Mus musculus: one gene and its partners. The protein of the gene in region 3 purifies or fractionates together with the protein of the main gene of each other region. This does not show direct contact. Links are inferred from orthologs where the notes say so. Each region holds a gene or a part of one and is shown on either strand. Other genes may lie near its edges.

Region 1 (3,751 bases), on a different chromosome or scaffold from region 3:
GAGTGAATTTCTAACTAATATAACATATAGCAAATATTATTTAGTAAATGATATAGTATTTGTGGAAGATAGTCCTTAAAAGAAAAATTCAAACAAAAAAATATTCAAGACCTATTAAAAGTAAACATTGAAGCACAAGCTCATCTTGTGGCAGATAAACAAGAGTTAGGAAACAAGTGGAAAGAAAAACAAAGTTGTTGGATATTAGAATACTTTCCAATGTCTTGCAAATCTTTGAAAAAACAAAACACTAAAATTTGTATTTAATCAAAGAACTTTGCTATAACTGGAGAAATAAGACTGAAAAATGGAACTGAGGAACAATAGGTTTTCATAGTTTGACATACACATGTGCGCGCGCGCACACACACGCACGCACACGCACACGCACACGCACACACACACACACACACACACACACGCATGCACGCTCGAATTAGTATTTAAGCTAAATATTCACTTATGCTTCAAAATACAAAAACACAACCATGTGTATATATTCTCAAAAGCCAGATGGCAGCTGGAGTAAGCATAAATGTCAAGAACAATCAATCCTGATGAGAGGAGATGACTAACTGCATCTTTGTAACAGGTTTGACTCCTCACTGAAGCTACAGAAACAGAGGAAATGGAAACATAACAAATAAGTACCTTAACTCTTGAAATGGTAAAGTATGACAGAATACAATTACACACTGTTTTCAGTCCAATATCATAGTGGGAGTCCAGAAGATATACATACACACATACATACATTTATTAATATACGAGAAGAATTTACTCACATTTACATCTGTGTGATGAATTAATACACAAAGAGCTGGAAGAATCTGAGGAGAGAAATATGTACAACTTAAACATACTGATTAAAAGAAAAAACATAAAATGGTATCTAACTATTTTTTTCTTTTATTTACCTCCTGAATTGTCTCCATTGGTGGTGGTGGGTCTTTGTGGCGACATAAATTGACCATAACCCAGGTAACATTTCTTAAGAATGTTATAGGAATAGATGGACTTATGAATGAAAGCAGAGGTTTTACAACTCCAAGACTTATCACATAATCTCTACACTGAGGTCCATCACCTGTAGAAAGGATTAATTAAATAAGATAAATCAACACTAAGCTTTTTCAGAAAACATAAAGCACTGGGTACAATTATGCAGCTACTAACATTTTAATAAGATTTTTTTTAGTTTATATAAAAATACTAGGAATTTAACAAGTAGACATTATAGGTCTTTGAGCCAAGAGAACCAATGTAACAAATATGTGTCTTTATAAGCTGCTCACTTACAGGGTGTCACTAAGATGCAGAAGCCCAAGATTATTTCAAATACTTTGAGCAGACATGTTATCATTACCGCAATGCTTTGTTCAGTATAACAAGCTTTTACATTAATACAATATGTCTAAATAACTATTGAGAAAATTAATGCAGAATTTATACATCATGATTTAATAGGGTCTAGTGTGTTGGCACAAGTCTAATCACAATGTTTTGGAGGTAGAGTCAGTATGGAGATAAGTTTAGCTACACAGTGAGTTCAAAGTTAGCCCAGGATACATGAGACCCATTATCAGAAGCAAAACTAATCCACAGGGGAAAAAAAAAAACTTTCTTGCACTATAATATCTGGTGATGTATATAATTCTAACATGTAATTAGAGAATAAAAAAACAAAAACAAATATCATAATGGTTCTCTACTTTATTATAATAATTTACCATAATGTCTCTTTGATACAGTGGGGTCACAAAATCTTTAAGGAGGGGGATGTCACATATCAGATATCCTGCATATCAGATATTTACAATCCTTAACATTAGCAATATTACAGTTATGAAGTAGCAACAAAAATAACTTTATGATTGGGGTTTGAATATCTCTGGCCCAGGGAGTAGCAATATTAGGAGGTGTGGCCTTGCTGGAAGAAGTGTGTCACTGTGGGGTGGGCAAAGAGACTCTCCTTCTAACCATGTGGGAGCCAGTCTTCTTCTAGTGGCCTTGAGATGAAGATGTAGAACTCTCAGCTTCTTCTGTACCATGCCTGCCTAGATGCTACTATGTTCCTATCTTGATATTGGACTAAACCTCTGAACCTGTAAGCCAACCCCAATTAAAAGTTGTTCTAAGAGTTGTCTTGGTCATGGTGTCTGTTCACAGCAGAAAAACCCCTAACTAAGACAGTGGTCATCACAACATGACGGTGAGCATTAGGAAGGTTGGGAACTTTTAACAGCTTTATACAAAGCTTTGATGCTTGATACAAGAGGCACCCAGATATGCAACGTCACTTCTAAAAGCAGTGTCCTCTACACTAGTAAGTTCACAGAGTACGCTGCTCACAAAAATTAATAGGGGCAATAACAATGCTAACAACACTTACATGCAAATAACTGTGGAAACACATACCTATAACCTCTAAATTCAAAAGGCCGAGGAAGGAATAGGGCTCAGAGTTCAGTAAAACATGGGCTACAGTCAGTCAGGGAGACATAGCAAGACAAAACAAACAATACCCTCCATGTCAGAACAATGAAGACTGTGATGAGTGTTTAGGGCTGTTGAGATGGCTTGGTGAGTAAAGGTGCTTGCTAACACTCTGAGTTCAATACTCAGAACACACGTGGAAGTGTCTAGTCTTTACACATATGCTGTAATATACATGTAAACACACACATATACATATATACAAAGTAAGTGAAGTGTCTTAATTTTTAAAGAATGTCCAGAATCCTCCTTCATCAAAACAAACAAACAAACAAACAAAAAACAAAACAAAAAACAAACAAACAAAAAAACCACCAAAAAAGGGATTTCCAAGATTTCCAAGCCAGATTTCAGTATTGGTTTGGGGGTTGGGGGGTTGTTTTTGTTTTTTTGAGACAGGGTTTCTCTGTGTAGCTCTGGCTGTTCTGGAACTTGCTCTGTAAACCTAAAACTTTCAGAGATCCACCTGCCTCTGCCTCTGCCTCTGCCTCCTGAGTGCTGGAATTAAAGGAAGGAGTGCTGCAACCACCACTAGCTAGTTTTCTGTTTGTTTTCAGACAGCATCTTGCTATGTAGTACAGGTTAGTCTTGAACTCACAGCAATTCTCCTGCCTCAGCCTCCCTAGGTACTGGGATTAGTTCTTTGAATTTTAAAGTCTGAGTTAATACAGCCTCCAGTAAACAGACTTGGCGGTATATAGTCTTGCAATCCCACACTTGGGGTGGGGATTCTCCAGCTGAGGTAAGACGACCATGAGTTTCAGGCAGCCAGATTACCACAAGCAAACAAAAATGCCTCTAGTCTAAAAAAATGCTCAAAATACTGAGATTGTGTCAATTATTTTTCCTACAGTTATTTATAAGGGCAAAGGTCATGATAATGTTCAATAATGAATTAGGCTATTAGATACTTACTGTTAATTCACAATAGAAATATACATTATATACTAAATTTTAATCTCTTATACAAGGTTTTTAGACTGCTCAAGTATGCTATAAAAAGAAAAATTATTTTAATTTTTGCCTACTGTTATTCATAGATGGGGAAAGTTAGTAATAATGTATATATTTTATAACCCTTTAAATAACTAAGAGCTGACTACCAACAAGAAGCTACCATGGCAATGTAAGCAACAAGCACGCTCCTGTTTACTGTTGCTCTACATTCAGAGGCAGTCACACAGTTAAGTTCTCTGCAACTTCAAGAAAACTGGAAATGACAAAAATTACTTTTCAACCACTCATAGTCATTTTT
Region 2 (4,202 bases), on a different chromosome or scaffold from region 3:
ACCAACCTCCACTGCACCGGGGAGGAGGGGATAATGGAGACAGCCTGGCAAAACTCCCCAAAAGTTATATAAACAAAGGAGGGAGAAGCCCAGTGTGGGCTTCGCACCCATGTGCCACTAAAATTACATAACACCCGGTGCAGACACTGAATGAGGAATGATTCTGCACTACGCCCTCGCTCTCTCCCCTCCTACACCATCCTCCTTCGCTTTAAACACCCCCAAGGGCCCCCGCGAGAGAGTGGACCGCTTGGGGTGTTTATTTTCTTCGTGGAGTAAATCCTGCGAGAGTTGGAAGCACATTTAGGCCCGAAGTTTGAACGTGCAACAGCCGCAGGGCACAGCGACTCACTCTCTCCGGACCTGGAGCAGAAAGAACTGACCACGCCAGCCACCCGCGAGGCCTCCATCTCCCCCGCGCAGTGCCTCCCGCTGGAAAGTTTTCCCTGCAATCGATTGCCTGCCTGACTTTGCACGGAAGGCGAGCCAAAGATGGGAGGGGGGTCGGCAGAGAAAGACCTAGAAAGCTCAGCGGGCGGCGGCGGCGACAGCGGGAGGAGCCGGCTCCTTACCTGGGCGACGCTGAACGGCCAGGGCTCTCGAGCTGGCGCCGCCCGGGGCTGCGAGGGAGCGGTGTGCACAGCGCGGCTTAGGCCGGCGCCCGCGGCCCGGCCCCCGCCACCTCCTCTTCCTCCCTCGCGCGCGTCATGTCACGGCGATCAAACACGTCTGTGCGCTTCGCCGCGGTGACTTCCTGATTCTCCGCCGCTCGCGCGCGCCACGCACTCGCCCTCGCCGCCGCACGCACCGCCACCGCCTCCCGCCGCCAGACCCAGCCGGCTCTGCGTCCGGCTCCCGGGAGTGCTCCGGCTAGAGACGCAGCCCGCGCAGCTCGCCACTCACTGGTCCCTAGCGCACTGCACACTCACGCCAGCCCGCCGCCCCCTCCAGCCCCTCCATCCGACTTGCAGCACTGCCAAACTTTTTTTTTCCGGGTTGATTGGTGTCCAACTTCCCTCCGCCCCCATCCCCCAGGCAGCCCTACCAGCCCGGCGCTCACCACTATCCGCAGCGAATAGCAACCGGTATAAAAAAATAATAATGTAATCCAGGCCGCAGGGGTGAATGCAGACACCCGCACCCGGCGATCTCCTGCAGGTACCGGAAACCAGCGTGAGCGCCCGGGCCGGAGCGCGGGTGTCCCCTAGAGTCCTCAGCGCTGCGCCCCGCCCGGAGCGGTGTCACTGCGTCCAGGCTGCGCGGCCTGGTGCGGGGCACCGGGGGGCACTGTGCTGGTGTGCGCTTGGTGGCTGGAGGGCGCCCAGGGGCTGGCGCGCTGGACCGGTGATTTGGGGAAGTACATCGCGACACCTATGCAGATGGCGTGGCCCTGTTTTGCAACGCCAATGGGAGGGGAGGCAGCCCAGCGATGGGGGAGGAGGAGGAGGCAAGGGAAGGGGTGAACTATGTTGGGATGGGAATAAAGCAAACTCGAAAGCAGGGAGCAAGAAGGAAGGGGTGAGTGTCATCGCTAGGAGGAGGCTCCCACCGGCTCTCCCCGCCTCCCTCCTTCGCCACCCCCTGTTTCCTCCCCACTGCAGCCCTTCCCCTTCCCGGGCGAACGCCGCGGCCGCTGCCCGGGTGCGTGCGGGTCCTGTTGTGACAGTCAGGCAGAGAGGATTATCCGGATCATGGCCTCCCCAGCCCTCAGCCGCCGTGGCTCTCCCGGGTCCCTGTGCGCCCCTGACACTCAGACCATCCCAGGCGCCCCGCGTCTGCAGCTTCCTCGGCGCTTGCCAAGGAAAGACACCAAGCAAAAGAAAACAAACCCAGAGAGGGGAGGGGAGGCTAACAGAGCCTAGTGGACACCTCGGACCTCTTTCCTTGGGGCTTCCTTCCACCCTCTGTAATGAGACCCGGGCTGGACACCCCGAACTTCAACATCCTAGCCCGCGCTGCCTCTAGGTACCAGACAAGAGGGTCCGCGGCGCCACGGCCATAGCCCCCGGGGCCAACCCTTTCACCTAAAGGCCTGTCACCAATCAACATTCCCTTCCCTGCCCTAGGGAACCCCGGGAGTGGAGGTGACACCTCGGAGCCCCAAGGCACCAACCCTGTGGTAGTGGCCGCCGCCCGCTCAGTGCGCCATCCCAGACTACTACCGCCAAGATCTGCTCTCGTCCCCGCAGCCGGAGCCCTTTAAACAAGTCCCCGGGAGGCGAATAGCAGCCGTGTTGGTTGGCGCCCTGCCGCCAGCCCGGGCTCCTCACCCTCCTTCCCTCCTTTCCTGTTCCCTTCCAACTCTAACGGGGAGGATGGCTCGGGGTGAACTGTCGCGTTTCCAGTCCCCCGCCTCCCAACCCCTCCGCCCCCCGGCCCGGAGTTCCCAAATCCCCCTCTCCTCTTGCCACTAGCCCTCCCCACCTCTGCTTTTTAGGGGATAGGAGGGGGGGGGGGATGCAACCTGGCGGAGAGTGTGTTGCAACCCTGAGTTGGCAGCGCATCACTGTCAACCTGCCCAGGGTCAAGGCTGTGACATGTTGGGATTTCTTCTCCTTGCCCCCTCGAAGTAGTAATTATTACTGTTATTATTAGAACGGCGAGGTTCGGTTGAAACTTTGTTTCTTTTATCGCCACCCGGGAGCTGTGGTTAGAGCATTCCACCTGAGGCCCGCGGGGAAGAGGCGGGCTTTTTTGTTGTTGTAGCGGTTGGCCCGCCTGTTTGTTTTGGTCTTCCAGCATGCACAATAAATAATGATTAGGATAAGGATGCATAATCCGGGGCGAAGGCGGCGCGGTGCCCAAGGGGTTCGGCGGCCGCTGCGGCTGCTGTAAGGCCGGAGCCGTGGAGAGAAGAGAAAGGAGTTGTAAGTTATATTTACCTTGCTCGCGAGCAGTGTGCTGGCTGAATCTTCCCTCTCTGAGTCACCCAGAGTACAGAAACAGAGGGAGCGAGGACTAGATTATGAATATGACTTCATTGATGACAGCCGTCCCCTCCTCTTCCTAAACTCGGGCTCCGCCCCGCGTCCCACCCTCGCCGCCTCCACGGGCGCCGGAAGACGCGCCGCAGTTGGCCCCGCGAGCCGCTCCTCCCTGCCCGGCCCGGCGCGGGTTGGTGGGACGCTCCTGTCACTCGCCCTGCTCAGCGACTCCGGGAGCGCGCGGGGGGAGCAGGGGGCGGTGTGCAAGAATGTGGATCTAGACAGCTCTACTGTATGCGTGGATCTGTGTGTGTCTGCGAGGCGCCGGCTCTCCGCCGTGTTTGTGCCTGGAGCAGAGAAACTGCGCAGGACAAGCAACCAGCCCGCAGCCCTGCTGGACTCGGGAGCCGCACATCCTTTAGCTGGCAGTAGCCTTCCGAGCTTCTCCGAGGAGACTGGGGGAACCCCCCGAAGCGAAGGGGAGGGCAGCCGTAGTAATCGAGCGTAGTAGTTCTGGGGAATGTGGAGACCGTGCTGGAATTTAAGTGTGCCTGCGCCTGCCAGCTCGAGCCTGCAGAGAGAAAGGGAGGGGACGGCGGGGGCAGGGCTCCGGGTGGCACCAAAGCTGTTTGTGGCAGTGTTGGCCGCGGGGGTGGGAGGGAATGGGCATTATCATACGAGCTGAAACTTTTTCGACCCCCGCCTCCTCCCCGTTTCTCTCAAGGCTGTCATAAATTTGCGTTCTTCCCACCCATCCCCAGCCCCCAGTGAAAAGGGAGGCGGCACAAAGAGCGAGCTTGCCAAATCTGTCTCATCCCTAAAGGACTGCAAGCTTCCAAATGCCAGAGAAGAGAAACAGCTGAGAGGCCGGCCGCCTAGTAAATAAATAAACCCAGATAAACCCTCCTAACCCCTCTGTTTACTTCGGAAAGGCACGAAGCACTTTCACCTCCCCTCACCTGTCGTCTTCGAATAAAATATACATAAAAATGTGGGAGGAGAGAACGACCCGCGAGGGTAGGGCGGGAGAGTCAGGGGGCAGCTGAACCATGGGATCTGCTTTTGATTTAAAAAGGGAAATAAATCTCAATCTCTACAGACCGAAGTCTCCTCTCTCTTCCACCCCACATTTAAGACCAATTAAGGCTACAAACTGCAATTTGCCTGCACGTAGTGGTTTGGAGAGCTAGTGTTTCAGTTTTCCTTGAAATACAGTATGTCTGCCGGACCCTAGGTCACTATTTGGTGAGGCGGTTTTATTTTTAGTTTTATGAAGTG
Region 3 (4,189 bases):
AAGCTAAAGTATCCTCTTCTCTCCAATCTAGCTTCCGCCCCAATCCCTCCCAGCACTTCCCCATTAGTGCAGGCTTTAGTCCCAGCAGGAAAACTAGGTGGCAGATCTCCTTGAGTTCACAGCTGCCTCGTCTAATAGACCAGTTCTAGGACAGTCTTTTGTGTGTGTGAAGTTTTGCCTGCATGTATGTCCAAGCACCACATTCCCATCTAGCACTTGAAGCGCGAAGAGGTCACTGGATTCCTTCCAACTGGAGTTACAAGTGGCTGTGGGGGGCCCTGGGAATTGAGCGCAGCATCTCAGTAGGAAATGCTCTAAACTGGTGTGTGTGTGTGGTATGGATGTACCCGTGAGTGCAGGGCGGTGTGGAAGCCAGAAGAGGGCGCTGGGTCCCTGTAGCTGGAGTCACAGGCATCTGTGAGCCTCCCAAGGTGGATGCTAGGAACTGAGCTTTGTCCTCTGCAAGGGCTGTACACACTACCAACTACTGAGCCATCTCTCAGGGCCCTGCTTTCTCCAGTTAACAAAGCAAGGAAAACCTCTGCAAGGAAGTATTAGGGCTGGCCTTTAATCCCAGCACCTGAGAGGCAGAGAAAGGAGGATCTCTGTGAGTCCAAGAACAATCTAGTGGTCTACAGCACCAGTTTCAGGACAGCCAGGGCTATACAGAGAAATCCTGTCTTGAAGAAAAAAAGAGAGAAAAGGAGGGGAAATTATGTAATTCTATTATAATCTCAAAAAAAATTATGGGGCTGGAGAGATGGCTCACCAGTTGGGAGCACATACTGATCTTCCAGAGGTCCTGGGTTCGTTTCCCAGCAACCACATGGTGGCTCACAACCATCTGTAATGAGATCTGGTGTGTCTAAAGACATCTACAGTGTGCTCACATACATAAAATAAATAATTCTTTAAAAAAATTATGCCTATTATACTACCCAATCTTTTAGGAAGTGGAGATAAGGAGACTTTTCTCCAAGAAATGTATTATCTACAAAAAACAAGAAGAAGAAAAAAAATTCCCAGCACTTGGTGGCCAGAGGCAGACGGATTTCTAAGTTTGAGGCCAGCCTGGTCTAGAGAGTAAGTTCCAGGACAGCCAGGGCTACGCAGAGAAACTGTCTCAAAAAACCAAAACCAAACCAAACCAAACCAAACAAACAAAAAGAACCGAAACAAAAAATGAGGCTGCTAGACAGTGGTGCACCCCTTTAATACTCAGGAGGCAGAGGCAGGGGGATCTCTCTGAGTTCAGAGGCCAGCCTAGTTGGTCTACAAAGCAACTTCCAGGACAGCTAGGGCTGTTAGAGACAGACCCTGCCTTAAAAACAAAACAGAACAGAAACAAGAAGACACCAGGCTTGGTGGCTCCGTCACCCCACAGCACTGGGAAAGACTGAAACAGGAATGTGGCTAACAGTTGAAAGACAGCATAGTGAAAGAGCAATCAGGACCACTGAACCTTCTTAGTCCACTTCTTCAGAATTAAAACAGGCCAGGGTTGTGGCACATGCCTTTAATCCTAGCACTCGGGAGGGGGGTAGGATAAATCTCTTCCAGTAGGAAGCAAACCTGGTCTACAAAGTGAGTTCCAGGCTAGCCAGGGTTACACAGAGGCCATTTCCAAAAAAAAAAAAAAAGTATCAACATAGCTCTTCACCCTCTACAACTGGAGTTATAACACCCTTTTCTAATCCAGCTAAAATTACTATCTGAATTATTTTATACCGACAATTACCAAAAAATATCTGTCTTCTAAATTTCAGATCTAAACAGCCAACCGCCTACTGGCTGGCTGGCTAGATGTCCCCTGAACAACTCAACTGCTATTCCCAAAACACAAATGCTGGACCAAGTGGTGTAAGCCTGGAGTCAAGAGTAAGAAGAAGGGGCTTAATCCAAGACCAGCTGAGTTACACTGTGAGACCCTTTCTCAGATAAAGGTGCTGTCCCCTCCCCCTGCTGTTGGCTCCACTTGCCAGGGCCTGGCTTGTAACTCCAGTTCTTGGGTCCTAAGCACTGACACACAACCTGCTCCTCTCAGGTTGGGCTGAGGCTCCTGCTGTGTTCTCCTCCACCCCACATTCCCTTGTCCCAGCGCTAACACCGAAAGATACCTGTGACATTGTCTAGCTCCCCCTTCAGACGGGAACTCAACACAGGAAATGTGCCTCGATGAGCCCTCCAGCCCCAACAGAAACACAACCCAGGACAGAGTAAGATGCTCGCGCTGGCTCAATGAAAAGTCGTTTTAACAAGTTTCATGCACCTCTCTTCTTGCATCCCCGGGGAGCCCCATTTCCCAACTAGCAACTGCAGGCCCTACTCATAGACTTGGGGGATGGAGTGGGGGAGGGGATGAGTGGCCAGTCCTGCAGAACTCACCAAAAGAAAGAAAGAAAAAGAGAGAGAGTGAATGGGGACAGTGAAAAACCTTTGTATTCTCAGCAGGGGAAGATATCCAGGCAAACCGTCTCCATCATATTCCGATCCCCGCCGCCACTTAGGCTTCCCTCCAGGAATCCCACTCCAACTTCAGGTCGGATTCCCCGAGAATCTCCGCCACCGGGATTACCGCAGACTACCCCTTCCACGACCCCCACCTCATCTCCGGCCTCAGCCTCGACTTCCTCTCTCCAACCTCCTCCTTCAGCCTCGACTTTCCCTCAGCCTCCCCGGGGCTTCAGCCTCCTCCCAGCCTCCTCCCCCAGCCTTTCCCCAACGCCCGGCCCGCGCCGCCCACCCGCAGCTCACCGTCGTAGTAGTAACAGACTTTCCTCTTGGTGCCCTGAGTCTGCGCCATCTTGCTCGCCGCCCGGCCCTCCCGTCAGTCTGTCCGCCCGCCCGCCCGCGGCTCCTTACGGCGTCCGACCAGGGGGAGGGGCCGGCCTCGAAGCCCCGCCCACCCCCGGGATCACCTATAGCCGCACAGCCCGGGCCTCACTCTAACCAATCGGCATGCGCGGGGTCGGGCCCGGAACTCGGCGGGGGGCAAGGGCAGCTTAGAGAAGCCACCGCGGGCCCCCTGGGCCTGTACCAAAGTCCGGCGCGGAGGGGTGGGGGAGACCGGGGGCCGTACCATCGAGTCCCGGGAGAGGGAGTCGGCTCCGTAAACTCTGCAGCCCGCTTCACAGTTGGGAGCGTGTGCAAAGATCAGAGGCCAACTTTCTCGTTTTACCGAGAATACGCCGAGGCTTCCCGGGGAAAGATGCTTGCGCAAGGTCACGCAGCTAAAAGACTAGGTTTGGTCTGGATTAGAACTGGAGAGAGAAATGAATGGCAAGGAACAGAAAGAAAATATCCAGAGGCCTACTGTAGTGGGGCAAGACCTTTATGTGCTCATAAGTTCTGACGGACTTTTCTTTTTTAATGTCAAAGCTCGTTTTCAGTTGGGCGTGGTTGCTATGTCTTTGATCCCAGCACTCAGGAGGCAGAGTCAGGAAGATCTCTGTAATCTGAGGCCAACTTGCTCTCCGTAGTGAAAGCATGTCTCAAAAAATAACAAAACAATTTTACAGGTAAAGCTGAAGAGCTTATTCAGTGTTACAAATTAAATTCCGTCTCCAATTGTACATATTTTTTTTAAAAAAAGACAAAATCCAATATGCCCGAGCACTGTGACAAAGTAACAGAACTTGGTGTTTAGTTTTTAATTTACTGGAGGGAGTGTTGGAGGGAGTGTTCCTATGTAATGGCTCTGGGTGGGGGCGGGGCGATCCATCCAGAAAATTTGGGTCAGGCATGGTGGCAGCAACCATCTCACCTACCCAGAACTTAATTTTTCTAAACTGAAAGCCTAAGTTGTTGTTTGGGGGGGACGTGGGGGTGGGGGGGCGGGGTTGTTTCTTCGTTTGTTTTTGCTTTTTTGTTTGTTTGTTTGTTTTTCAAGATAGGGTTTCTCTGTATAGCCCTGGCTGTCCTGGAACTCACTTTGTAGACCAGGCTGGGCTCGAACTCAGACATCTGCCTGCCTCTGCCTCCGGAGTGCTGTGATTAAAGGCATGCCCCACCACACCTGCCTTTTTTTTTTTTAAAGATTTATTTATTTATTTATTTATTTATTAAGTACACTGTAGCTGCCTTCAGACACACACCAGACCAGAAGGGCGTCAGATCTCCTTATTTCAACTGAGTCTTCGACTCAGAAATCTGCCTGCCTCTATCCCCAGAGTGGGTGGCATATGTCTTT
Region 4 (4,268 bases), on a different chromosome or scaffold from region 3:
GCTGAGACCTGCCTACGTGGTGCCCTGGAGGGACCCCTGGGAACCATTTTATGTGGCTGGAGGAAAGGTGCCCACATTTGACGAACGCTTTCGGCAGTATGGTTTCAATCGAATCAGCCAGGTACTTAAAAGGGAGAGGGCATGTAGGACTAAGACTGGAGGCGTGTCAGGGGTGAAGTGGCCATTGGTGGAAAGGAGGCAGTGAAGCAAGAAGAAAGTGGTTGGATGATGGAGAATTGAGGACAGTGGAGTGGAACTTTAGGGATGATCATGTGGGCCCTGGGGATATCATTAAGTTATTGTGATTAAATCACTGTGACCTCTCCCTGTCTCTCTCCCTCTCTTCCCTCTCCCCTCCTCTATCTCTCCCTCCCCCCCCCCCGCCCCTTTTCCAGGCTTGTGAGCTGCACGTGGCAGGGTTTAATTTTGAGGTGCTGAACGAAGGTTTTCTGGTTCATAAGGGATTCAAGGAGGCATTGAAGTTCCATCCCCAAAAGGAGGCTGAAAACCAGCGCAATAAGATCCTTTACCGCCAGTTCAAACAGGAGTTGAAGGCTAGGTACCCCAACTCTCCCCACCGATGCTGAGTCCTTGTCTTCCATGGTCTGAGAATTGTCAGTATCTGGCTCCAGGCCTGACTGGGGTAAGAAACATGCCTCCACTTTACAGAGGTAGCTATGGGTTTGGAACACTGGACTTGACTATGGGGTGCTGGGAGTCAAGTCTCAGCTTTACCACTAACTAGCTGTGTGGCCTTGAGCAAATACTATTACTTCTCTGAGCCTCCGTTACGCCGTCTGTAAAAAGGGAGGTGAAAATACCTACCTCACAGAACTGTTGGCTCAGATGAGACGCTGTATGTGTAAACATCCTGTAAACTTCGTACAAATGTGAAGTATTATTAATATTGCTACAGTGTTATTATGATATTGTTACTATTAACCATGTTGGGTGGATAGCGGCAGAGCAAAAAGTTTGAATGGGCTAGAGGTGGGAAGCTTGAGTGTTTAATAAAATGAGGCTTTTGGAAAGAAAGATGAAAACGTAGAATGTAGTGCTAAGAACGTTTCCCGTTCTCTCATGCCTTCGCCCTCCGCCCTCCGAGATCCCTGAAGGAGGAAAGAGATAAAGGTTAAAGTCCCAGATCTGTGCCCTCCAGTAGGTTGGGCTGCTCATTTGCCTTCGGATGACATTATGTAAATAAACGAATGTCACACCCACAGCTGGCTCTGTTACTCTCCTAAGCCGAGGGGTGGTGGGCCGGAGCACCGTGTTAGACGGCGGTGGACCCAAGGACACCGACCACAATGCTAGGACAGGCTGAAGGCCTGGGTTACTGGGGGCCAGTTGCTATGGAGACCCGTCCGCCGTATCCCGGCATGCCTGGACACCAGTGGTTCCATTGTAAGCGCCACAAATGGGCGCCTCCTGATGACGCACACGGAAGCGTCGACACCTCCTGGAGAAAGAGAATCCTGCGCAGCACTGTTCCGGAGATCAACGGCGGCGGCGTTCACACCCTGGGTCGGACAGCTCTCCGGGAGTCCTGGACGTGAGGCCGGAGGCCCCAGTGTCTGCGGTGCGTATGGCCACGCCCGGCGCTGGGTTGGGCTTTCCGGATCGGAGCTAAAGCAGAGACTTAACCGGCCCGACTCGCGCGCTGGCCTGAGAGGAGCCCGCGGTTCCGAGGGTGGATCGAGGTGGGATAGTTCCTTGCGCCGCAGAGTTTGTCCTCTGTGTCTGTAGGGAGGGGTCTGCTTTCCCTGGAGGTTTGCTGTGGAGGTGCTTATACACCGCGCGTTTACCGTGTGCCTCTTCCACTCCCTACAACCCTCAGCAATGGTATATCCCCTATTTGTACCCGGGTTAAGGAGGGACGATTGGTTGTGACTTCATTTAACGAAGTCAGGATCAGAGTCAGCTGGAGGAAGGAGATCCTTGAATTCATCCTGCGTCTTAGAAAGAGTATATACAACGGTGAAAAGGAATTGCCAGTGTGGAGGGTCTGAGGCGTGAAAAGGGGAACAGTGAGGCTGTTTTGGAGATCTGGATTTTCAGAGCAGGAGGAAATGCTACTAAACTCTCCTGCAGGTCCGGCGCTATAATTACTTGCATGGGTGTGAAGGAGCGTTACTCCAAGTAGGGTTGCCAAGAAGGAAAAGCCAGTTTCTATACTGCAAAAGTTTATGTTGTTTAATTTGGGTTTAGAAATTCCCAGTCATCAAGTGAGCTGGCACTGCACTGGGCGAGTAGGACAGCCTGCTGCCCTGTCCTGATGAAACACCCACATTTCACTGGGTGGTCGGACATGAGACTGGGAGAATATGAGATAAAAAACAAAGAAACCTTTAATCCCAGCACTAGGGAGGCAGAGGCAGGCAGATTTCTGAGTTCGAGGCCAGCCTGGTCTACAGAGTGAGTTCCAGGACAGCCAGGGCTACACAGAGAAACCCTGTCTCGAAAAAAACAAAACAAAAAAAAACTTCCTGGGGGAAGGAGTTATGCCTTCCCCATGGGAAAGACTTACAGAGCAGCAACCAGAGATGTAGAAATCACACCAGTGTGAACTAGAAGCATCTACATCCAAGATGACCTATTCTCTCTGGGGGCCTGGCAGTATCAATCTCTCGTTGTCTCCTTCCTTCTGAAAATACCTTCCACCCTAACTCTTGGATTTTCAATCTGTTCTGCAGAGGTTTCTCCTCCTGCCTCCTTTGTTGACCTTGGGAATTCCAACAGAGGCCCCTTCTCACAGTTCCGCCTGAAAAGTCAGACTGCACAAAGCCTAAATAACTTGCCGTATGTAGCTAGAGGAGCCTGGGTCTAGTGGAAGTTCACATGCCTGTGTCCCTGGTCCCTTTTCTCACTTCTAGGTCTTTGTACTTGTTTTTCACTCTGCCTGGAATGTTCCATCTCAGGCGGCCTGGTCCTCACCTAGTCTGTCTCCCTCTGGAAGCTGTCACTGTAGCAGCAAGCTCCAGCTCCTGTGTAGACACCTCCCATAACACCTTAATTTGACTCTCTTCACACCATTATAAAGGTCTGCTTCTTTGCGTTTCTCCCAGAAATTTGTCATTTCCTCGAGGCCAAAGGCTGTCATAGCTATACTGTAGCATCTGCCACAGTCCACGGTGACTGTTGGTGCCTGGCACACTTTAGGTGCTTAGTAAATACTGGATAAGTAGGAAGAAAGGTAGGGGAGGGGCTTAGTGTTCACTGTTTCTGAAAGGTTACCTAAGGCAAGCACTGGCAAATGTTGGTGTTTGCTACAAGGAAATTGATTCGTAATTCTGCCGCAGTGGTTTTAGTGTGAGTGCTGGGTATCCAAACACTGAAAGAGGAGGAGGTGAAAGTCAGAATAGCAAGTGTGCGCAAGGCCCAGAGAACTACAGAAAATTAACTAAACGGGGCTGTTTCATATTTCTGCATTCATTCTTTTACCTACTCATTTGGATTTGACACAGCCTCACCAGCTATTGCTAGCCTGAAACTAACTGTATATCAGGCTGGGCTTGAATTTGTAGTAATCCCCCTGCCTCCTGAATGCTAAGATAACAGGCCTGTACCACCTCACTTGGCTTTATTTTTTTATTTGTGTTTGTTTTTTCCAGAGAGATCTAGTCTAGGTGCCTCTTCAGACAGCAATCTACCACTGACCTGTACCCCCAGACATACTGCTTTTGTGTCTTTTTAAGACAGAGCTTCGCTGTCTAACCCAGAATGGCCTCCTGCGTCAGCGTGTGGATTATGTATATGAACCTCATCAGGCTCTCTCTGCTTTTTAGTTTTTTTTTTCTCTCCAGTACTGGGAATTGAGACCTAGAATTGAATTCTAGAAACACCTCGAACTCAGAAATCCGCCTGCCTCTGCCTGTGCTGGGATTAAAGGCGTGCGCCACCACGCCCGGCCTTCTTTTCCTTTTTTTAAAAGATTTGTTTATTTTATGTAAATGAGAACACTGTAGCTGTCTTCAGACACACCAGAAGAGGGCATTGGATCCCATTACAGATGGTTGTGAGCTACCATGTGATTGCTGGGAATTGAACTCAGGGCCTCCGGAAGAGCAGTCAGTGTCCTCTTACCTGCTGAGCCGCCTCTCCAGCCCCTCCTGTTTTTCCTCAGGAAAACCCTGAGCTTCCGCATCTGAACTTCCACAGAGGAAGGTGCTTCCTGTTCACGTCCTTAGGAGTGCTAGGGGCTTAGGATATTGCTCAGTGGTAGTTGGGGCTCAGCATTTATGGGAATCTGAGTTCAATCCTTAGTCCTT
Region 5 (3,751 bases), on a different chromosome or scaffold from region 3:
CAGCCCGGTCTTTCCTTTCTGTGCTGGGCACCGTGGAGAAGCGGAGCCCACACACAAAGACTCTGCATGCTTGTTCTCACCTATGTCTGCGCAGCCGGCGGTGCAGAGACGTGCATTTCCCTGTACTCCTCGCATTCTATGTGTGCCTTATCTCTTAGCAAGCGTAGGAGAGTAGATGGGTGAGCATGGGAGAAGACAATATTTACAATACTCCAGAGAAAACGCAGCTTACCTTTGATGGGTTTTTAGGCAATTTAATAAGACCATTGTGTAAAATTTTACTAACAGTTTAAAGAATTTCAGGCCAAAGTAACCAAAAGAAAAAAGAAGACTCAGTTATTAAAATTAAAGGTGAAAATCAGGGAAACATTATCAGAGGTAATGGTCAAATCCAAAGAATCATTAGGGCTTTGAAAATATGTATTACAGTAAATTAGAATATCTCACAGAAACGGGTAAGTTCACAGGTACATCTGACCTGCCAGTGTTAAACTAAGAAGATAGAAACAACTTACACAGACCTAAGACAAGCAATAAAATATCTCCCAACTGAAAAATACCCGGTCCTAAATGGAATCATGGCTGAATTCTGTCAGATATTTGAAGAGATAACGTAAATCCTCCTTAAACTGTTCCATAAAGTAGAAAGGGGAAGAATATCAACAAACTTATTTTCCAAAGCCAGCATTACTTTTATACCCAAACCAGGTAAAAGAAGAAAAGAAAAGAAAAGAAGAGAAAAGAAAAGAAAAGAAAAGAAAAGAAAAGAAAAGAGAAAAGGAAGGAAAGGATAAGCCGATTCATACATTCCCAATAAAATAATAGAATGAAATGAAAAATATACAAACGGGAAAGGAAGAGATGAAAGAGCCCTATCCACAGACAATATTGTCCCACACACAAGAGCCCAGGGCTGCACTGGAGAGGCTTAGCTCTGATTGAGGATCAGCCTGCGTCATCACCACACAGACCCCGTGGTTTTCCTATATCGATAGTGAGTGTGTCGAGAAAGAAGTCAGCAAACGCGACGGCCGAGCACAGTCACAGGCATCCCCGATAGCTTCAACATGAGCAAATAAAACTCCTGGCAATAAACTAACCATGTGAAAAGTCCTTTACAGTGAACATGTTAAGACACGGAAGAAGAAAGAGATGTCAATCAATGATGGAAAGGCCTCCCATGTTCCTGGGAGTTAACAGAGTTACTACCACAAAAATATGGCCAAGTGTGGTCTGTAGATTGAATGCAATCCACAATGCCAATACCGTTCCTCCTAGAAAATAAAGTTCACTTGGGACGACAAAAGGTCTCAGGTAGCCAAAGCTATAGGATAGTAAGAATATTTCAGAGGTATCACAGCTGCTGATATCAGAGGTATCATAGCTGCTGATTCCAGGTCACACTACAGAGCCATGGTAACAAAAAAAGCATGGAAGTGGGGTCAAAACAGACGTGTAAATCAGCAGAAGAGGAGAGTCAGAAAGGAACACAATGTAGCCACCTGATACCCGAGAAAGATGCCAAAATGTGCATTAGAGAAAAGACGGGCTGGAGAAGAAGTGATGCCGGTGGGGAACCGGCTAGCACATATAAGGAAGGGAACCAGATCCCAGGCTCCTACCCTACCAACCAATTCAACACGGAGCAGAGATCTTAATGGAAAAGGTAATGGTCTGAAACAGCTAAAGGAAAACATGCAGAAAACGCTTCGTGATGTAGGCAAGCCCTTTCCGAAAAGGGCTCCAGCAACTCAGGAAATAAAATGGAGAACTAGCAACTGAGATTCAAAGGCGTCACAGCAGAGGAAACAGTTTCCTGAGTTGAAGAGACGACAGCCTTCAGTGGGGGAAAGAATTGTTGCTAGCTATGTAGCTGACAGATTAGTATCTAGGTTCTATAAAAACTCAAAAAAAATTAAATTCTGGAAACAAACAACCCAGTAAATAAATGCGCTCAGAAGAAAGAGAGGGTTCTCCAACAATGAGTGCAAACAGCCAACAAATGTGAAAGCATGCTTCACACCCTTAGTCTTTAAAGTTCCTCTGAGGTCCCACCTCACCCTGGTCAGAAGTCATTAAGAAAACAAGTCCAGGAGCCTGCCAAGTAGCTCAGGTGGTACAGTACTTACCTCTTGTGTAAGAAGTCCTGGGTTTGATTCCCAGCACTCCCTACAAACGGCTGCACTCCCAGATGAGTTCAAGGTCGTCCCCAGATGTGTGTAGCAGATGTCTTAGCAGGTAACCCATACAAAGCCTGCTGCCCTGAATTCAGTCTCCAGGACCCACATGGTAGAAGGAGAGAACCCCTCCCCTCAGGTGGTCCTCTACCCTAAACACACGTGTGTTATGACCAACAAATGCAAGAATGTAAATAAGAAAATCAAAATGGAGATTTAGAATAACATGAAGTAAAACTGCATAGACACAGCTATCCACTCCTGCGGATATTTACAAAACTCTAACTCCACGTACTATAACATACATATTTCCCTGCACATATGTGTTTATTTCAGCCATATTCAAGAGCTACATCAAACAACCACCGTAGCTCTCCATTAGCAGATGATGGATTAAGAAAGCATGATATACATGAGTAATGGAGTTTTTTTTCAGCCATTAAAAAAAAAAAAGAAAAAAGAAAGAAGGGCTGGAGAGATGCCTCAGCAGTTAAGAGCACTGACTGCTCTTCCAGAGGTCCTGAGTTCAAATCCCAGCAACCACATGGTGGCTCACAACCATCTGTCATGGAACTCGATACCCTCTTCTCTTGTGTCTGAAGACAGCTATAGTCTACTCACATACATAAAATAAAAATAAATCTTTATTTTTAAAAAAGAAGGGAAGAAAAAGAAAAGAAACATTTGCAGGGCAGTGTATGCAACTGGAGATCTCTGTATCAAGAGAAATAAGCCAGAACAAAGAAGATGAACATCACCTACCGTCTCTCTCGGTTCTAGATCCTAGGTTTTATATAGATGTACATAAGATATTTTGCATATGCGTGCATAGGATATGAAAGTAAGAGGAAGGTACTCCGTTGGTAGGGAGGGGACGAGTGGATATGAGGAGGGGAGAAGGGGCCTTAGGTACGGTCACAGTGCTTGTTCTAGGATGAAAATGTTTTCAGGGAGTTATCCCGATGAGCACTGAGTATATGCCAAGAAAGACTTTAAGGAAGTGTTTCTAGAGGAAAAGAATTGGTCTTTGAGGCCATTTGCTGTCAAATGTTCACACTCTGACCTGCCTGGGCATGAGCAGACTGTTCTCTGTGACCCTAGACAGAGAGAAGGAGATCATCCGCCAGGCAGCCGTGCAGCAGACCAAGGAGATGGACCTGAGCGTGGTGCGCCTCATGTTCACAGCCTTCCTCCCTGACAGCACTGGCAGCTTCACTCGGAGACTGGAGCCTGTGGTGTCAGACGCCATCTATGATAGCAGTGAGTACTCGTTCCCAAGATGGGACAGTTTCATCTAGCTGCATGGAGGGCAGGGCCACTATGTCACTTACTCCCCAGAGCTGAGGCCTGCAGACTGGGACCTAGTCACATAGAGCCTCTAGTTTATTGTCTACAAAGTTAATACTGCAGTCTAGGGTAAAGGGTCAATATCCAGTTAAGCGTCTTAAGAACATGTCTGCCAAGGTAACACGTCTTCCTCAGAGAGTGCATTATATTCCTTACATGTAACACCAGTTTCTTACTATGAACACATGACTGTAAGGATAGATTGCTGGTGCTCTAAAAAAAATTAC
Region 6 (3,751 bases), on a different chromosome or scaffold from region 3:
ACTGTGTTAAACTTGGAAACGTGATGGCAAAAGCAGAAAGGTTGTTGTGGAGTAGTTAAGTTACCAAGTGAAGACAGTTGTTTTCTCTTAAAAGACTTTCCCTAACTTAATAGCTCTGAACTCTGTTGATTGTTCTGTGTGGGGGAACTGTGGCCAGAGTTTACAGAGATACAGAATATGCCAGGAAGGAAAAGGAAGGTACTGAGAACATGGCAAGTTGTTGTTGCGAAGCCCTAAAATAAATCACTTTTATTTATCCATACAGAAAACAAGCACGAGGCCAAGAGGAGGCGAACAGAGAGAGTTAGGCGAGAGAAGATAAATTCTACAGTAAATAAAGATTTAGAAAACAGAAAGAGATCTCGAAGTAACAGCCATTCAGATCATATCAGACGAGGGAGAGGACGACCTAAAAGTTCATCCGCCAAAAAACACGAGGAAGAGAGAGGTATGGTTAATCCCAGCACCCTTTCAAATATCAAACTGATAAAAGGTAATGAGTAGGTAATAGTAGTGAGTATAATGGAAGCTTTGAGCTCTTGAACGGAAAAAAAAGAAAAATCACGATTCATTTTTGATTTAAAAACATTTTCTTGGACTGGAGAGATGGCTCAGTGGTTAAGAGCACTGACTGCTCTTCCAGAGGTCCTGAGTTCAATTCTCAGCAACCACATGGTGGCTCACAACCATTTGTAATGGGATCCGATGCCTTCTTCTGGTGTGTCTGAAGAAAGCTACAGTGTTCTCATAAAAATAAATCTTTTTTTTTTTAAAAAAAAAGAATTAAAGTAGTCTTTAAAATTTTTTTTTCTTTTTTTTTTGTTGCAGTGCTGAGTTTTGAGCGCAGTACACAGGTCTACTTCTGACCCCACACTCGCAGCCCATACATTCTTAGTTTTAAAAATCAAAACAAAACACAGATTCTTATTGGAAACCTAAAGGGTTACATTAGGTAAAATTCCATATTGTTATAAATTAGTGGTAAAAGGTTCAAAGATTTTTTTTTTGTTTTTTTGTTTTTTTTGTTTTTTTTTTTTTGTTTTTTTGTTTTTGTTTTTTTTTGTTTTTCGAGACAGGCTTTCTCTGTGTAGTCCTGACTGTCCTGGAATTCACTTTGTAGACCAGGCTGGCCCCGAACTCAGAAATCTGCCTGCCTGTGCCTCCCAAGGGCTGGGATTAAAGGTGTGCGCCACCACCGCCGGGCTGATAATTGTATATTTAAGTCATCTTTCAGATACCAGTAAAAATTATTGTACTTTGTTTTTGTTTTTTGATTGTTTTAAAGCAGGTCTAAGCAGTTAGTTTAACTAACTGTTCTATGGATTTGAAATCTGTTTTTATATATTTTTTAAAGTGATGTTGGTGTGCAGTTTTTAATTGCTCTTTGGGGGTTCTAGTGCTTCCTCCCCAGCTAGCTTTGCATGGTTAGTGTGTTCTTGATCACTCTGTCTCTCCTTCCAGGTCTCTCTTCTGAGAAGCAGTTTCCACTCATCACTTAGTTCTAGACTTAACAGCTTCTCTCTTTCTGTGATGGATACATCTTTAAAAAGTTTTATCATGGAAAAATGCCACATAAAAAAAGAGTAGGAAGAATGACGTCACAGCCTCGATAACGTATACAGATTGATACAGATTTGAAACTAGTAATTATAGCTGTTCTTTGTATTTATTTAGAACCCTCAGCCAACACAATTTCATTTTCAATGAAATATATTTATAACTGTTGTTGGTTACATTTTGCATTGCTTTAAGTACTTAATTTTAGGTATACAAAAATTTAGTATAAAAATATAAATGTTAGCTGGGCGTGGTGGCGCACACACCTTTAATCCCAGCATGATTTGAGACACAGAATTACTCATGGTTTCTCGGACATATATTGTCTTTAGCTTTTACCAAAATGAAAGGTGTTTTGATACTGTGTAAATACAGAAGTAAAGTTTGTACCTGAGTGAAAGGCTTCCCATAGGTGATTCTCAACTCTTTGTGTAATCTTACTTTTTTTCTTCCTGTTATACTCTTCCAGTCATTTACTTAATTTAAATACACTTATTTAACAATGAGGTCATCAGAAAATCTTATTTGAAAGACTGTTTTGGAACAGAAACCTGGCAAGAAAAGTCCACAGAGAAGAAACAAAAAGTTCTACTTAGTCAGAAAATAGAACTTGGTTTTCAGTTGAAATAAAGGCTGGAAAATGATGGGAGGGGGTGCTTTTGAATTGAGATTAAAGAAATGTCTGCTGGCAGCTGGGGAAGGAAAGGCTATTGCTGGGCATAGATGCATTTTACGTTCGCAGCGCTGGAATTTTATTCTTACTTGAAAAGGGAAGCATTTATTGTCAGTGAGTATTTTTCAGATATTTTCTGTGTAAGAATATTTTTTTGCTGACAGTAGTGCTATGTGCCACTGATCCCAGCACTGGGAGACCAAGGCAGACGACCGCTGTCTCCTAAGAAAGCCATTGTTCCCCCAGTTCTTGGTTCGGGAACATGAACCTTACGCATGCTAGGCAACTATTCCACAGAACTACATCCCTAGAAGCCAAATTATTAATTTTTTTCTTTTGATATGAATTTCGGGAAATGTTATGGTACAATCCTATTTTTTTTTCCACTTTTAAAAAAAATGGTACCTTGGTATTTAACTTTTCCCCTTTTCTTTCCACAGAAAAACAGGAAAAGGAAATCGACATCTATGCTAACCTCTCTGATGAGAAGGCTTTCGTGTTTTCAGTTGCCTTGGCAGAAATAAATAGAAAAATTATCAATCAAAGACTTATTCTCTGATATTTGTCTTCAAACTCTGTTGGTTGCCACTTTCTTCAGGATTGCATCAGCAGATCCTCAGGCAGTCGTGGACTCTGAGGAGCACCAGACTGTGTGAATGAGGGCCTTTGGTTGCTTTCTCTGTTTCCTAGTCTGCTGCCACGCTTTGGGAGCAAAGCTGTGCGTTAGACTTTGCTGGGATTTCCTTGTTTACCAAGGATCATTATCAGTGTTTTGTGTTGGGATATTACTAAATGTATTTACAAAGACAAACAAACAAAATGACCAGAAAAGCCCCGGAACCTGGATGGGTCTTTCCCGATTGGAGGGACAGGAGTACGGGTGGAACACACAGCTGGAGCAGCTGACGTGCTTGCTAGTTTTCAGGTTCGCACCAGAGATGCAGTGTCTTAAGTCCTGTCAGGAGAGTGACTTTTAAATGTATGTATTTCAGGCTTTCACCATTAACAGATTGCATATATACAATCCATTGACTTTTAATAAATTGGTAATTGATATTTTATTGAATGGAGAATTACGAATATAGATTATAAATTCTGTCTTTAATTGACCTTTTTCTTGGGCGCTATTTTAATGATTTAAGTAGGAGTTATATTTTCAGAAACTTTCTAGACAGTTTGGAAATTTGGGTGCTATATGAAGAAAAGCATTTGAGGCTGTATCATATTTCAGATATAAACACCTTGTTTTCTTGAATGTTTTATTTATTGGTTTTTAAAAAAAACTTTTCTGTTATCAAGATGGTGCCTGTTAACCTAAACACAGATATATTTATTATATAAATTGCAAAATATTTCTTAGCTACTTGTGAACAGTGATTTTTTTTTGTCTGAATGTTCATTTATACATAATTCTGGTAATTATTTAAATTGTTACTTCATCCTGGAAAAAAATAAACCTTAATATTGAAAGCGAGTAGATTAAGTAGTGTGGTGTAGCTTTTTGTCCTAGTGAAGTTTGTA
Region 7 (3,751 bases), on a different chromosome or scaffold from region 3:
CCTACTGTGATCACAGGGCTTCCCAGAAGGGCAACCTCAAGATTCATATCCGCAGCCACCGGACAGGAACTCTGATTCAGGGGCACGAGCCAGAGGCGGGAGAGGCTCAGCTGGGTGAGATGCGTGTCTCTGAGGGCCTGGATGGGTGTGCCAGCCCTACTAAGAGCACCTCTGCCTGTAACCGCGTGCTGAACGGGGCCGTGCCGATGGACGGCAGCAAGATTCTGCTCAGGAGCAGCCGCAAGGAGGTGGAGGGTGCGGCCAGCGCCCAGGAAGACACTGAGGCCACGGTGCCGTGCTCCTTCTGTAAGAGCCGGTTCGAGCGCAAGAAGGACCTGGAGCTGCATGTGCACCAGGCCCACAAGCCGTTCAAGTGCAGGCTGTGCAGCTATGTCACCCTGCGGGAGGAGTCTCTGCTCAGCCACATAGAGAGGGACCACATCACCGCACAGGTGCCCAATGGCAGCGAGGCCTGTGTGGAGAACGGCAAACCTGAGCTGAGCCCTGGGGAGTTTCCCTGCGAGGTGTGTGGCCAGGCCTTCAGCCAGACCTGGTTCCTGAAGGCACACATGAAGAAACACCGGGGCTCCTTTGACCACGGCTGCCACATCTGCGGCCGGAGATTCAAAGAGCCTTGGTTCCTCAAGAACCATATGAAGGCGCATGGACCCAAGGCAGGAAGCAAGAACAGACCCAAGAGTGAGCTGGATCCCATTGCCACCATCAACAATGTGGTGCAGGAGGAAGTCATTGTCGCTGGCCTGTCCCTCTATGAGGTCTGCACAAAGTGCGGGAACCTGTTTACAAACCTGGACAGCTTGAACGCCCATAACGCCATACACCGTAAAGTTGAAGCCAGCCGGATTCGAGCCCCGGCTGAGGAGGGGGACTCAGAGGACCCCCTGGACACTAAGCAGTTCTTCTTACAGTGCCTGAATCTGACACCATATGTGGCTGGTGATGTGTCCCCCGGTGGGCAGGCTGGACGGCGGGTGGCTGAATTGGACCCCGTCAACAGCTATCAGGCCTGGCAGCTAGCTACCAGGGGTAAGGTGGCTGAGCCGGCCGAGTACCTCAAGTACGGGACCTGGGACGAGGCGCTGGCAGGGGATGTAGCCTTTGACAAAGACAAGCGTGAGTATATACTGGTGAGCCAGGAAAAACGCAAGCGTGAACAGGATGCTCCGGCTACCCAAGCTCCCCCGAGGAAGAGGGCCAGTGTACCTGGGGACCCCATGCTTTCTGGCCACCTTGATCCCCGGCCAACCTCACGCCCCAACCGCAGGGCCTCGGCCACCACTGGCCAGGGCAAGTCCTCTGAGTGCTTCGAGTGCGGCAAGATCTTCCGCACCTACCACCAGATGGTGCTCCACTCCCGCGTGCACCGCCGTGCACGCCGTGACAGGGATCCTGAAGGGGACAGAGCAGCGCGTGCCCGTTGCGGTTCACTCAGCGAGGGTGACTCGGCTTCCCAGCCAAGCAGCCCTGGCTCAGCCTGCGCCATTGCTGACTCCCCTGGCCTGGCTGAGGAAGTGGTGGATGACAGTGGTGAAGAGGCTGTGCCTGAACCCGCATCAGGTGAGCAGGCGTACCTGGGCGGATGAGGTTCAAGTACCCCGTGTAGCCCTTTGCCCGGCTGGCCCTGTACTCAAGCAGTCTTGGTGGAGGGACTGTGTCCGCAGGTGCTCCTATGTTTTGGTGACCTTGTGCCCTGTTTCTGGCTCTGGCTTTGAGGCTGTGCACTGGGTATCCTGCACCTTCTGGGTTCTGGAGGCTCTGCTGGTCTGACTGATGCTGTCAGTTCCTCCTCTCTCTCTTTTCTGCTACTCACATACAGATGCTGAGTTAATTAATTAATTAATGAATTAATGAACACTTTTGGCTTCTTAAGTCTAGGGTCTCATCTGGGTGTCTGTATTCTATAAGTAAGGAGTAAGTTCCTCTGAAATGTCCTTTTGTTCTCTATGTGTGACACAAATATACACACACGTGTGCATGCTTAGAATACACACAAACGATACCACATATAAACACCAAAACACTAAAACCATACACATACTTGCACATGTACAGTCACACATTCACATACACAGACATGCACATACACATGCACACATGTGCACATCACATACACATATGACAAACATGTTTGTGGAAATGGACCATAGATAGTATGGTGGTTTGAAAGAATGGCCCCATAGGCTCATGTGTTTGAAATCATCAGCTGTGGCAGTGTTTGAAAGGATTAGAAGGATTAAAAGGTATAAACTATTGGAGTGGGTGTGGCCTTGTTGGAGGGAGCATGTCACGGGACCCCGGCACTCTTTCCTTTCTGCTCTCCTGCCTGGGGATCAGGATGTGGCGCTCGCAGCTCCAGGGCCTTCCTGCATGTCACCAAGCTCCCCACCGTGATGGTAATGGGTGAAATCTCTGACACTGTAAGCAAGCTTCAGTTAAATGCTTTCTTCTATAAGAGTTGCTGTGGTCACGGGGCCTCTCCACGGCAACAGAACAGCGACTGGGACAGATACTGCAAACACACATACACAAACACACGTGCACATACACAAATATGCAATGGGTACATGCACATATGTACACATCACATATTCAGACATACCATACACCCCAAAATACACACTTACTCTGCACAACCACATATGCGTACACGCACAAACATACATAAGCATGAATATGCACACATCACACAGGCATATAAATACTACACATAGACACCCCAGACACATGCATATATAAAAAATATGCATATACACAAACATGGATGTGATCACACATGCAAGGAAGCCTAAATGGACACCAAAAATAAACATGTATACTTGCTTACACACAGATAAGTACACACACATATGAATACATAAACGTGTACATATTGCAACACATGCATAAATACACACATGTAGAGGTTATAAACATAGAACACTTACTGATATACAATCATACCTGCCCACATATTTAGCATGTACTGAATACATGTCACGTGCTTGTTCTTGCACACACATACACAGGTGTACACACATTCACACACACACACACACAAAATACATGCTAATGCACACACGCATTCCTCTCCACTCTCACTGCCAGACATCTGGATGAAGGCTAACTTAGAATCTCTGTGTAGTTATAACTAATCTCTTCAGATTCAGATAACCCTTCGGGCTGAGAGACTGTTAGTTGGAGCAGATTTCTTTCCAAACAGCAGCCATGAGAATGTTTCCAGAACCCTGGCTTGGCGTTTCATGGTTTCCCCATTTTAAAAATAATAAACCTTGAGCATTGCCTTTGTTATTTTGCCATGGGCAGTTGCCGCGAGGAAAGGCAGTGCTGAGGTGTGAACCGTGGCTGCACGTGGCCAGCATGCTTCCTTGTCTAGCAGCTGTTGGGGGCTGTTGCTTTTACTTGAGGTGGGGTGCTTACAGGCAGAGGAGCCCACTGCAGAGCTCTTGTGTCTGCAGCAAGGAAGAGGAAACAGGTGCCGCCTTTCCTTGCTAGGGGCCCAAGTGAGTCTGACATTAGATTTGCATAGTGTGCTACCTGGTCTCTGCTGCACTTAGGTGCACAGAGGCACCAAAACTGGGCACACAAGGCATTCCCCCAGCCCTTTGGGAATTCCGAATGGAGTCTTAGCACCCTCAGGGACCAGTGAATCAGAACCACGTGCTGCCTGTCAACTTATCTCTCCTGTCACTCATCTTAGGTGGGTGGGGAGCAGGTGCTGGGCCAGGGGAGG

The links.
Region 1: the proteins of Hdac1 (region 3) and Kpna4 purify together in Homo sapiens (affinity purification with mass spectrometry; 3 studies listed by BioGRID and IntAct, with this or other methods). This does not show direct contact. The link is inferred for Mus musculus from reciprocal best matches to the Homo sapiens genes HDAC1 and KPNA4.
Region 2: the proteins of Hdac1 (region 3) and Smarca2 purify together in Homo sapiens (affinity purification with western blotting; 4 studies listed by BioGRID and IntAct, with this or other methods). This does not show direct contact. The link is inferred for Mus musculus from reciprocal best matches to the Homo sapiens genes HDAC1 and SMARCA2.
Region 4: the proteins of Hdac1 (region 3) and Brms1 purify together in Homo sapiens (affinity purification with mass spectrometry; 7 studies listed by BioGRID and IntAct, counting the BioPlex papers as one, with this or other methods). This does not show direct contact. The link is inferred for Mus musculus from reciprocal best matches to the Homo sapiens genes HDAC1 and BRMS1.
Region 5: the proteins of Hdac1 (region 3) and Nfkb1 purify together in Homo sapiens (affinity purification with western blotting; 3 studies listed by BioGRID and IntAct, with this or other methods). This does not show direct contact. The link is inferred for Mus musculus from reciprocal best matches to the Homo sapiens genes HDAC1 and NFKB1.
Region 6: the proteins of Hdac1 (region 3) and 4921524J17Rik purify together in Homo sapiens (co-immunoprecipitation; 4 studies listed by BioGRID and IntAct, counting the BioPlex papers as one, with this or other methods). This does not show direct contact. The link is inferred for Mus musculus from reciprocal best matches to the Homo sapiens genes HDAC1 and C16orf87.
Region 7: the proteins of Hdac1 (region 3) and Zfp516 purify together in Homo sapiens (co-immunoprecipitation; 5 studies listed by BioGRID and IntAct, counting the BioPlex papers as one, with this or other methods). This does not show direct contact. The link is inferred for Mus musculus from reciprocal best matches to the Homo sapiens genes HDAC1 and ZNF516.

The regions. Positions count from the first base shown.
Region 1 is NC_000069.6:69,088,991-69,092,741, forward strand, and holds part of Kpna4 (importin subunit alpha-3), read right to left. Parts: intron 1,088-3,751; coding exon 918-1,087; intron 831-917; coding exon 786-830; intron 1-785. UniProt on the Homo sapiens protein: Functions in nuclear protein import as an adapter protein for nuclear receptor KPNB1. Binds specifically and directly to substrates containing either a simple or bipartite NLS motif.
Region 2 is NC_000085.6:26,603,914-26,608,115, reverse strand, and holds the start of Smarca2 (probable global transcription activator SNF2L2), read right to left. Parts: upstream 2,957-4,202; 5' UTR 2,883-2,956; intron 2,868-2,882; exon of another isoform or gene 2,067-2,867; intron 1,966-2,066; exon of another isoform or gene 1,606-1,965; intron 1,543-1,605; exon of another isoform or gene 1,061-1,542; intron 975-1,060; exon of another isoform or gene 573-974; intron 1-572. UniProt on the Homo sapiens protein: ATPase involved in transcriptional activation and repression of select genes by chromatin remodeling (alteration of DNA-nucleosome topology).
Region 3 is NC_000070.6:129,539,827-129,544,015, forward strand, and holds the start of Hdac1 (histone deacetylase 1), read right to left. Parts: upstream 2,821-4,189; 5' UTR 2,804-2,820; coding exon 2,755-2,803; intron 1-2,754. UniProt on the Homo sapiens protein: Histone deacetylase that catalyzes the deacetylation of lysine residues on the N-terminal part of the core histones (H2A, H2B, H3 and H4).
Region 4 is NC_000085.6:5,039,912-5,044,179, forward strand, and holds the start of Brms1 (breast cancer metastasis-suppressor 1 homolog), read left to right. Parts: upstream 1-1,451; 5' UTR 1,452-1,579; exon of another isoform or gene 1,580-1,700; intron 1,701-4,268. Other genes in the region: B4gat1 (beta-1,4-glucuronyltransferase 1), read left to right, coding at 1-121, 396-587. UniProt on the Homo sapiens protein: Transcriptional repressor. Down-regulates transcription activation by NF-kappa-B by promoting the deacetylation of RELA at 'Lys-310'. Promotes HDAC1 binding to promoter regions.
Region 5 is NC_000069.6:135,614,958-135,618,708, reverse strand, and holds part of Nfkb1 (nuclear factor NF-kappa-B p105 subunit), read left to right. Parts: intron 1-3,278; coding exon 3,279-3,437; intron 3,438-3,751.
Region 6 is NC_000074.6:85,408,810-85,412,560, reverse strand, and holds part of 4921524J17Rik (UPF0547 protein C16orf87 homolog), read left to right. Parts: intron 1-265; coding exon 266-448; intron 449-2,670; coding exon 2,671-2,789; 3' UTR 2,790-3,751.
Region 7 is NC_000084.6:82,955,872-82,959,622, forward strand, and holds part of Zfp516 (zinc finger protein 516), read left to right. Parts: coding exon 1-1,578; intron 1,579-3,751. UniProt on the Homo sapiens protein: Transcriptional regulator that binds to the promoter and activates the transcription of genes promoting brown adipose tissue (BAT) differentiation.